3 linked regions of the Cricetulus griseus genome follow. The protein of the gene in region 1 interacts with the protein of each later gene in a pairwise test. Links are inferred from orthologs where the notes say so. Each region holds a gene or a part of one and is shown in the gene's direction. Other genes may lie near its edges. The genes, in order: Arl6ip1, Snx10 and Inpp5k.

The links.
Region 2: the proteins of Arl6ip1 (region 1) and Snx10 interact in binary tests that used the Homo sapiens proteins (3 or more experiments, as listed by UniProt). The two-hybrid records come from large-scale screens. The link is inferred for Cricetulus griseus from reciprocal best matches to the Homo sapiens genes ARL6IP1 and SNX10.
Region 3: the proteins of Arl6ip1 (region 1) and Inpp5k interact in binary tests that used the Homo sapiens proteins (3 or more experiments, as listed by UniProt). The link is inferred for Cricetulus griseus from reciprocal best matches to the Homo sapiens genes ARL6IP1 and INPP5K.

The regions. Positions count from the first base shown.
Region 1 is NC_048596.1:82,516,309-82,519,957, forward strand, and holds part of Arl6ip1 (ADP-ribosylation factor-like protein 6-interacting protein 1), read left to right. Parts: intron 1-16; coding exon 17-136; intron 137-3,234; coding exon 3,235-3,352; intron 3,353-3,649. UniProt on the Homo sapiens protein: Positively regulates SLC1A1/EAAC1-mediated glutamate transport by increasing its affinity for glutamate in a PKC activity-dependent manner.
Region 2 is NC_048601.1:89,821,916-89,825,664, reverse strand, and holds the start of Snx10 (sorting nexin-10), read left to right. Parts: upstream 1-1,214; 5' UTR 1,215-1,329; intron 1,330-3,749. UniProt on the Homo sapiens protein: Probable phosphoinositide-binding protein involved in protein sorting and membrane trafficking in endosomes. Plays a role in cilium biogenesis through regulation of the transport and the localization of proteins to the cilium.
Region 3 is NC_048600.1:89,088,882-89,092,630, forward strand, and holds the start of Inpp5k (inositol polyphosphate 5-phosphatase K), read left to right. Parts: upstream 1-1,059; 5' UTR 1,060-1,331; coding exon 1,332-1,387; intron 1,388-3,300; coding exon 3,301-3,408; intron 3,409-3,708; coding exon 3,709-3,749. UniProt on the Homo sapiens protein: Inositol 5-phosphatase which acts on inositol 1,4,5-trisphosphate, inositol 1,3,4,5-tetrakisphosphate, phosphatidylinositol 4,5-bisphosphate and phosphatidylinositol 3,4,5-trisphosphate.

The DNA.
Region 1 (3,649 bases):
TCTTTGTTTTTAACAGGATTATCTATTATCTCGATCCATCTGTGCTGTCAGGTGTTTCCTGTTTTGTTATGTTTTTGTGCCTGGCTGACTACCTTGTTCCCATTCTAGCACCAAGGATTTTTGGCTCTAATAAATGGTAGGTGGCTATGTATGATTAATGTACTGTAATTAAGTGAAGACTGTTTTTTAACCATCGGACACCTCATTACTCTTATGTGAAAAATCTCTTATTGAAATTCAGATGAGTCAAGAATTTTTAGTACTTGCATCTCTGTATTTCACTTTGATTAAAAACTTGTGTTTTAGTTGGGCGTTGGTGGTGCATGGCTTTAATCCCAGCACTCAGGCAGTTGGATCTCTGTGAGTTCGAGGCCAGCCTTGTCTAAAGAGTGAGTGCCAGGGCAGCCTCCAAAGCTACACAGAGAAACCCTATATTGAAAAAAGAAAGAAACAAAGGAACAAAGAAAGAAAGCCAATGTTTTTCTCATTTCTAATCTGTTCCTCTGCTATTTTGTGGCACAGGTCCACTACTAAAAAGGATCAGGCTGAGAACCATGCTGCCCTCTCTCCTGTAGTGTTAGCCTGGCAAAGGTGTGGGAGGATTTCTCAGATCATCCAAGCTGTCCACGGTCAAGGCTACATTGTGGCTATAGTGTTCCTTCTTTCCCACACCATCCCAGATAATCAAAACATAAAACTTGCCCCTTGGATGCTATTACCACCAAACATCTGCTTCTCTCCGAAGACTTTCCTCCAGCATTATGAGTTAGTCAACTGCTGTCTGGCTAATGTCAAGGCCATAAACTTCCCCAAACATAATAGCATTAAATTCCTCATGAAAAAGGAAGAGCAGTTTGAGTAACAAGTCTTAACACTGACCTGTTATTCTTTAAAGAAATATGCTTACTTAACCCATAGTTTAACTCCCCAGAGTCTGTGAATTTGTTCTTTCAGATCCAGAAGGTACACAGTAGAGGCTCTCATTTTTACAGATTATATAACTTGCTGTTATTTGGAAACAAAAAAATGAAGGGCAGAGGCAGAACACTAATCAATTGAAAATGTCAGCTGACAGAAAAATCTATTCCAATATCTGGTTCTGTTCATTACATGTCTTCTTTCCTTCCTCCAGCAGAGAACAGAACTCAGGGCACGATGTGTTCTGGGAAAGCACTCTTAATACTGAGCTCTGAGAAATCCAACCATTTAACTATTAGAAATCATAAGCAACCAATCAGGTGATGATAAAAATGAGATCAACAGATCATGTGTATCCAACACTAGAATCTACTTTCTTTTTTCCTTTTTGGGTTTTTCGAGACAGGGTTTCTCAAGACAAGGTTTCTCTGTGGCTTTGGAGGCTGTCCTGAAACTAGCTCTTGTAGACCATGCTGGTCTCGAACTCACAGAGATCCGCCTGCCTCTGCCTCCCGAATGCTGGGATTGAAGGTGTGCACCACCACCCAGTTTAGAATCAATCTACTCTTATCTACTCAATGCACTTGGTCAACTACCCCTGCACTGCCTCAAGGCACAACCTCACTCTGCCTTAAACACAACGTCCCCGTTGGTTTGTTTTGAGGGATGTAGGGGAACATTGGGTATAGTATGTGTGTAACCAAGATAGGCAGGTCCACAGCTTGTTATGTGTATGGATCCCACTCTGGCCTCATATCACAATGTCTGTCATCCAGAGTACTGAGATTAGAGATGTGAACCAACCCAGACAGCTTAAAAGATCAACTCTAACAATTAGAGTTTTTTTTTTTTTTTTTTTTTTTTTTTTTTTTTGAGACAGGGTTCTCTGTGTAGCTCAGGCTGTCCTAGAACTCAGATATCCAGTTGCCTCTGCCTCCCAAGTGCTGGGATAGAAGGAAAGAACTGACCTCTGGGTGTCCTTCAAACTGACCTAATACAGTTGTTTGAGGAAAGTTTGTGACTGGACAGTGTAAGGCATTGAACAGGAGAATCAGCCACTGACCTTGACATGAGGTTGTTTGTCCTCATGTGTATACACTCACAAATGAGGACTCATACACATCAAAGGGACATAGTTAAACAAACCTAAGTTCAAGGTTCATTAAGGGGCTGGCTTAGTAGGCAAAGGTGCATGTTGCAGAGCCCTATTAACTTGAGTTCACTCCCCAAGGTCTGTCACATATGGTAGGAGAAAACAAACTCTGGGAAGTTGCCCTCTGATCTCCACATGCATGTTATGTGGCACATGCACGCCATCCCCAAATAAATAAAATGCAATTAAAAAAAAAGAATTAGAAGAGTTCTGTAATTTTTATTTAAAACATCAACTTTAAAAAATGCCCTTACTTATTGGGCAGTGGTGGCACAACCCTTTAATCCCAGTACTCAGGAGACACAGGCATGTAGATCGCTGTGAATTTGAAGCCAGTCTGGTCTCCAGAGTTGGTTCCAGAACAAGCAGGGCTATACAAAGAAGCCCTGCCTCGAAAAACCATCAATCAATCAATCAATCAAATAATAACCCTTTCTTTGAAGGGGAGGTGGTAGCACATGCCTTTAATCCCAGCACTCGGGAGGCAGAGGCAAGTGGATCTCTGTGAGTTCGAGGCCAGCCTGGTCTACAAGAGCTAGTTCCAGGACAGCCTCAAGCCACAGAGAAGCCCTGTCTCGGAAAAAAACAAAAAAAAAACAAAAAAAACAAAAAAAAATATGTGCAAGGGCATATTTTAAAAGTGTTTTCTGTTCTGTGATAGGTGTCTTAAAATGTAGCCACTCTGGGGTCTGGAAAGTTCACTTGCCCCCTTTAGAGGACAGACCTGAGTTTGAGTCCCAGTATAACTACTCTACTTCTACAGTATCTAACACTCTTCTAGTCCCTGTAGGCACCAGGCATTTCATATATGTGTATAGATAAACATGTAGGCAAAACACACACATAAAGTATAAGTAACACAATTTTTAAAAATTTGCACTCAATGGTGAGCCATTGTTTATTTTTACTTTTTTTAGAAGATAACTCTTGCCACATGTGGAGGCAGCCACCTATGTTCTCAGCACTTGGAAGACAGAAGCAGGTAGATCAGGAATTTAACTGTTCTAGGCCTTGTGGCTCATGCCTATAATCCTAGCATATTACAGTGCTGAGGCGGAAGGATCATGAGTTCAGGGGCAGCCAGAGAGATTCTTTCTCAGGAAAGTTAAATAAATTGTACTGTATCCATTTACTTAAAACAAAAACAAAACTCTCTTTTCTAGGACCACTGAACAACAGCAAAGATTTCATGAAATCTGCAGTAATCTAGTAAAAACTCGACGCAGAGCTGTGGGCTGGTGGAAACGCCTCTTTTCTCTAAAGGAAGAGAAGCCTAAAATGGTATTTTGTTATTTATTTGTTTGTTTGTTTTACTTATTGGAATGTGAAGCAAAATACTGAGTTTGTTGTAATTTCAGTCTAGTGACAGCCTTTTTAGGAGTGAAGTTCAGTACTTATTATCCTTTGGTGTAATGCCTACATATATTCATAAATGTTATATGAGGTAGCTAAATCATTGAAAGGTAAAATTTACATTTTGTATATAACTTTTTATTATAGTGGATGTAAGTCGTCGTCCCCCCCCCCCATCCCCCCCCCCCCCCCCCCCGTCTTGCTGAAGTAAAAGACATATACATA
Region 2 (3,749 bases), on another chromosome or scaffold:
AAAAAAGCCACCGAGTGGTGGCACACGGGAGGCAGAGGCAGGCAAATCTCTATGAGTTCGAGACCAGTCTGGTCTACAAAGTTCCAGGACAGCCTGCAAAGCCACAGAGAAACCCTGTCTTGACACCCTGCCCCCCCCAAAAAAAAAAGTCAGGCTCTTAGATGTGTGTCATAGAGAACATCTGTACTTGTAAGCCAAGTTCTTGGGAGACAAGACTGGATGATTGTAGTGAGTCCCAGGCCAGCCTTGTCTACGCAGTGAGCTCCAGCAAACTTGGAAGTCTGAAGTCAGGTTCTTGATTAGTCTGGACACTCAGGATCTTAGACATGCTGCATTTTTTGTTTTTAGGCAGTGAATAATGTTACTCACTCAGACAATGATTTGAAGGTTAAAGAAACAAAAAAGTGATGGTCACATATTATCTGCTGTGAAGAGACACCACGACTATAGCAACTCTTTTTTTTTTTTTTTTTTCCAGACAGGGTTTCTCTGTGGTTTTGGAGGCTGTCCTGGAACTAGCTCTTGTAGCCCAGGCTGGTCTTGAATTCACAGAGATCCACCTGCCTCTGCCTCCCGAGTGCTGGGACTAAAGGCATGCGCCACCAACACCCGGCCATCAGTGAGTTTTTCTGCCTTTAGATTTATTCATATTATTTTATGAGTATTTTGCCAGCTTGTATTTGCACCACGTGGGTGACTGGACAGAAGAGAGTGGTGAAGTGGAGTTACAGGCAGTTGTGAGCTGCCGTGTGTGTGTGTGTGTGTGTGTGTGTGTGTGTGTGTGTGTGTGTGTGTGTTGGGAACCAGGTTCTCTGAAAGGGCGCAAAAAGTGCTCTTAAACCTGGGCCATCTTCCCAATCCGGACCACTGAGGTGTTCCATGCACACAGGAGGGTGAGATCCAGCCCAAGATGGTATTTAGGAAATGTGCGTATCTTTGGCAGATCGCATAGTTTTCTCCTTCATAGTTCATGAAAAAAAAATTACAGAGAAGTTAAGAATATTTGTATAGCAAACAATCGCATGCTCTGCGTGGAGATCCCGTGGTTAGCACCGAGTCATGCTAGTCTGTTCCCAGCCTCCCCCATCCCTCTCTGCTGGGTAGAGAGAAAGACCCACTAGCAGTGTGGCTGTCCCCACGTTGCGGTCGGAGGCTGACAGCGGCGCGGGGCGGGGCAGCGGCGCGCAGGCGGGGCGGGCGGGGCGGGCTCTGCGTGCGCTGGACGGGTGCGCTCCTGGGCGCTCGCCGCCGCCGCCGCCGCCGCCGCCGCGCCTTGAGTCAGCAAACTCCGTGGTGTTCCCGGCCCCGCGCCGCCGCCCAGGACCGCGCGTGAGTAAGCCGAGCCTCCGGGAGGGAGCTGGGCGGCGGGTGCCGTGGCCGCCCCCGCACCTGCTAAGCCCGGCCGGGCACGCGAGAGATGCTGGCGGGCGGTCCCCCCACCCCAGCCCCCTTTGAATGCAAGGCCAGACACCTTTGAGTTTAGAGGCTGGGAGGGGCAAGGAAGGTCTTTTTCTTTTTCTTCTTCTTCTTCATGGGATTGTGGGATTGATGGAAAAGGCCGCGGAGGAGCCCACGTTGATGATCGGGTTTAATGACACGGGGAAGCAACAGCCTGTTTATCGGTTCTGGACACATCACACTTTGCTAAAATTACCAGGATTGTTAAGGGGATGGTCACGGGATGATGTCTGTTTCCGAAAGGCACAAGCTCCTGGAGAGCGAAGGATTAGAAATTGAGAGCAGAGTGGGGTTTGACCTGATCGCCATCTACCCTTTCAATTTGCGACAGGTGAAACCAAGGTCCGTCAGCGGGGAGCAGAAGGGGTGCATGAAAACCCCTCTTCTCCTGGGAGTGGACTTGTGGGAGTGGCCAGAGGGGCTTGGGGGCCTTAGGAGACTCCTCCAGTCCCTGGCCCATCTTTGAGGGGCTTTTCAGGAGGTGGAGGTTACGTGTCCTGGCAACAATATCTCAACTGAGGTTGAGGAGTCTGCATGACTTCGCGTGATTCCTTTCCCTAAGGCTAGGATACACCCGGACACTCATCTCGGGCTCACCCAGTCTCTAGGAGGTGTCTTCCTCCCTTCTGGTCCTGGGGATGATGGAGCCCATGGTTTTGAGCGTATCAGCAAGCGTCTTACCACTGAGCTACACCCCAGTCCCCGATTATTTATTTATTTTTAAAGATTTTATTTATTTATTATGTATATAACATTCTGCTTCCATGTATATCTGCACAACAGAAGAGGATGGTTGTGAGCCACCATGTGGTTGCTGGGAATTGAACTCAGGGCCTCTGGAAGAGCAGTTAGTGCTCTTAACCTCTGAGCCATCTCTCCAGCCCCCCCCCCCCCCGTTTCTTTATTTTATTTTGAGATTGACTGACAGACTGTTTTGAATAACGATATAAATGTAGATATATATTTAGATATAAGTGACTATGTGAAGATGTAAAAGATCTCATTAGCAGCTACTTGTAGTTAACTGACCATCCACCTGGGTGTCTTCTGTCAGCGCATTCTTAGTTATGGAAATGGGACAGGCTGGCACTGCCCTCAGGGAGGCGTGCCTATGGTGGCCATGGGGTTGGCTTGCTATCTTTGGCCATCATGGCTCATTCTCCGCTCTGGACTGTGTTACCCACCTCCTTTTATTTCGAGAATGGAAGACCTTCAGAGATGGCTGTTCTTTCTACCTGTTTAAAGAGTTGCTTTTGTGTTCCCCTACTGCAGTTTAGAGCACTCCTGACCGTTTTCAGCCCTGGCATGGCACTCCTTTCATTTTGAGTTAAGCCATTGGGGGAACTGGTTTCTTTTTCCTCTTTTAGTTCAGGTCTGTGGTGTAACAACCACTTGTGAAAGGCAAAGAGCTACTGGCTGCCTGAGAACAGGGTCAGCCTACAAAGACTTTTATTTTGAAGGATAGCAGAGAAGGATGTTGGCTAAGATGATGGTGGACTCCTGGAACGTCCCCCCAGATTTTAAGGCTGTTATCAACAAAAGTCTTTTTCTTAGTTAACAATAGGCTCTACAGACCTTGTCCCAGCTAGAAACTATATAATGGTGTGCACTGGCCACAGCTTCTGGTTTCAGACCATTCTGAGTTGAGATCTTGGTACACTTGTTTGCTCCTCAAGTTATTGTTGGCAGAGTCAGGCATGGTGGTGCATGTCTGTAATCCCAACCCTTGGGAGGTGGAAGCAAGAGGGTCAGGAGTTTAAGGCCATCCTTAACCTTGAGTCCTTGTCTCAAAAAATAAGAAAACAGCTGACCTGGAACTCATTGTGTAGATCAGGCTGACCTTGAACTCAGAAATCTGCTTGCCTCAGCATCCCAAGTGCTGAGATTAAAGGTGTCACCGTGATTGCCCCCCCTTTTTTAGGATTTTATTTATTTATTATGTGTACAACATTCTGCTTCCACGTATATCGGCACACCAGAAGAAGATGGTTGTGATCCACCATGTGGTTACTGGGGATTGAACTCAGGACTTCTGGAAGAGCAGCCAGTGCTCTTAACCTCTGAGCCATCTCTCCAGCCCCGGTTGGCCCTGTTTTTATTTTATCTTTTTATTTTATTTATTTATTTATTTATTTATTTATTTATTCATTCATTCATTCATTCATTCATTCATTCATTCATTCAAGACAGGGTTTCTCTGTGGCTTTGGAGTCTGTCCTGGAACTAGCTCTTGTAGACCAGGCTGGTCTCAAACTCACAGAGATCCACCTACCTCTGCCTCCTGAGTGCTG
Region 3 (3,749 bases), on another chromosome or scaffold:
CAAACCCATGTCCTCTGTAAGTGCTCTGAGACCTCTCCAGCCCTTACATTTTTATTACTGGAAGTCAGAGGACAACTTGGAGTGATTCCATCCACCCCAGGAAGGTGTTAAAGACTTGGTAACCAGAGGTTGCTCTCCCCCCCCCCCCCCAGTTTTGAGAAAGGATCACACCACAGTCCTGATGGCCTGTAACTCTTTTAAGGCAGCTCAAGCTGGCCTCAAACTTGAGTAACATCCTGCCTCAGCGTCCTGGAATTAGATACACACCACTACACCTTGTCCCAGGACATACATTTAAAGTAGCAGGATGCTTGTGAGTTCTCGAAACTGGGCGCCACTGAGTAGTTGGTACTACAGGTGAGACCCACCGTGCGGTGCTAAAAAGCAGGATCTTTAACTTGACTTTCCAGTGTGTGAATCTCATGGAGATTGTTAGTAAAACAATTCGGGAAACAATCTCTCTGCTTTCAAGAAATTATAACCAAAGACCTAAAGGGAATAAATCAAAGTGAGTCTGCCAAAGTAAATAGTGATATGAGTCCAATATACACTAAATAGGAGCCACGACTTGTGTGTCATTCACTGATGGCTCATTTTCCGAGCCCGGGAATCCCAGAATGTGCTTTGTATTCAGCAAAACTAGGTTCGAGCTGGGCATAGTGGTGCACTCATGTCTCGGCTCTGAGGTGGTAGGTTCGGCTTGGTCTGCATAACAAGCTCCCAGGACATAACAGCGAGACTGTCTCGGGGAAATGAAACCAAACGACGACCAGAGAGTCACTTAAAAGAATGCAAAGGTCCCAAGGAACCGCAGAAATTACTTTGAAGTGCGGAGTGAGGGAGGCCGAGCGGACGGACAGACTATCCTGAGCGTTCCCACGCTGCCCACTCCCGGATTCTGAGGGTAGGCAGACGACAGACAGAACTTTACGCCACGGGACGGTCGCCAGCCAGCCCGAGGCCGCGCGCAACGCTCCCCGCGCCCTCGCCCTCGCGCAAGGCAGGCTGGGAGTGCGGGGCGCCGCCACCCACTCGCACTGTGGTCGGTGAGGGCGGTGTGGCGTCGGGGGCGGATGACTCGCGTCTCTTCGTCTCGGAACCCATCTCCGCTCCGCCTCTGGGCGTTTCGCTCTGCAGTGGAGTCCCGCCTCTGTTTTCCCAACCGCGCCTCACACTCCTGAGCGCTCACGATCCGCCTCCTACGGAAGCCGAGGCACACAGTCAGGATCCGGAAGAAAAACAATTCGGAGGGAACAGTGCCGCTGATACTGGCCACCAAGGAAGGGCTGCTCCGGTTCGCACTGGCTGGAGCGAGGAGTCACGGCGTGGGAATGAAGTCGGCTGCGTGCCTACGGAGGCCGAGCACACCGAAAGTCTCTGTACTCAGGTGAGGACGCATTTATAGGCCGATCGGTTACTGGCGGTTCACTGTCTTCGTTTCAGTCTGATTTGTGGGGCTGGGCACCAAAAACGGTGGAATCAAGAGGACAGGCCTACAAGGCTGCCCTTGTTTGGACCCCCAGACTCTGCCAGGCCAATATTGAATGGGCTGTTAGACCTGATGCCCGTCCTAAACTTGGACTGCCAAACTGGTCACTGCAGATGCTTCCCAAGCAAGTGTCCTGTTGGTTTTTAAGAGCACACAGACAGTAGTGTCTAAGACATTCTTCCCTTCCGCTGTAGAATAGACGTTTTGTTCCTACTTTGCATCAGCAGAACATCATGGGGTCTTCTTGATCCGGTTATGATCTCTACAAATCCGAAATCAGATTTAAATAAGATCCTTTAGAGAAGTGAACCCTGGTCTCATGCTTGCTCTTTAATCACGAGGAACACCGCTAATCGTCCAATTGAGCGTAATCATGGTGCATGGATTCGCTGCTAATTATCAAAACTGAGAACATGGATGATCAATCCCGAATTTTATTCTTTATCCACTTAAAGTGCCTGGGAATACAAGAAGCCATTGAATAAACGGGTTACCTGCCTTAGTCCTCTGTTGGACAGCAGGGGGAGACTGTAAACAGATCAACTAACAGTCAAGAGAGCCTGAGAAGGTAGTTTTTGTATTATTTTGTTTATATTAACAGGGAGAGGCAGGAAGTTGCTTTAAGCTAGCCAAGAAATGTGTTTTACGAGTCATGCTTCTTAGAACATGTACCTCTAAGAACAGGGTCTGGTGGACAGATGTTTCAGAACAGACTGCCCTTCCCTTTTAGGATCCTCAGTATTCCTGGAACTCACAGGCTTCATTTCTGTAGAGTCTTGAGCTCCTGCTTGCTCTGTCCTGGGAACAGTGTGGGCTTCTTGGAGCATTGCTGTAGCAGTATGCTCACTCAAGGGCTCTACAAGTCTTTGCTTTCCTGAACTTGTGATGGGATGTCATGGTGTTTAAGAGCTGCTAATTATTTCTCCTGATACTCTGGGACTTGTCGAGAGCTGAGATTGGGATGTTATTCCCAAACTGATGATTTTTCCCAATAGACAGTAGACTGTTGAGATAGATACTTAAAATCTTGTTAGTTAGAAATTTGTACTTAGGCTCCATGAAGGCCTTGGTAGAATTTGTTGAGTTCCAGGGATCTGTAAGGTAGGCCATGCGGAAGGGAATGTGCTGTTTATTTTGTTCTTTTCTGAAATTTCTGTTCTTGTAACCCTGAGGCCTGTGATCAAGTACAATCAACCTCTAATACCTTCTTGGTGCTCTAGGAATCCATAGGGTGAGGAGAGGGAGTACAGAGTTGCTGACTGAGCCATAGAGGATCAATGAGGTGTAGATAGCTGGAAAGGCTAATGGGTTAACAAACTCCTGGCTGTCCATCTCATCATTTCCTCCTTTTCCTTACCAAAACTCCCGCATTCCCCCTAGCAGCTCGATGTGTCAGGTGCTGCTGAGGTATGGGCAATTATGAAGCTGTGTAGAGGACCCAGTTCAAGGGAAGAGACTCCTGGTTCAGGAGATGAAAGGGAAGGTGAAGCCTTTATAGTCTATTGCTCCTTTTCTTCTTTTCCTGCCACAAGATGAAGAAACAAGCCCGGAACCCTGGTATACAACTTTAATCCCAAAACTTAGAAGGCAGAAGCAGTGTGATTCCCCATGAGCTCCAGACAAGCCTGATTTACATAGGAGTTGGAGGCCAGCCAGGGCCACATAGTGAGACTGTGTCTCAAAAACAATAGACTAACAAACATACAGACACATTTCCCCGTGAGCACTGTGATGGAAACCATTAATAGGCCCAGGCTCCTGCCTATTCCTTAGCCTTCATTCTGTGACTTCATTTAATATCTTTTCTACAGTATACATGTTGTGACATGGAATGTGGCCTCAGCAGCCCCCACTGTGGACCTCAGTGACCTACTTCAACTGAATAGCCAAGACCTGAATCTGGACATATATATCATTGGGTAGGTATCCAAAGGACCCCTTGGCCCTCCATCTCTGTAGAGGGCTGATGTAACCTGACCTCCCTTCATTTTGGAGTATGAAGGTGAGGAGCTTTCATCCTCATCGGGTTTAGCCTCATGTGTCTTGGTCCTGGGTCAGCAATGGTCATGGATTGAAGATCAACAGCCACACCGCTAGGGAAGGGAGAAATCTTGGTCATCAGATCCTAGGTTTGAAAGTCTGATGAAGCCAGTACCAGATGTCTGTGGGAGAAGCAGTATCCTCCAGGCCTGGGAATGAGCCTGACTTGGAACGGTCAGTTTGCAGGAAATGAATTCTGGAATCATAAGCCTTCTTTCTG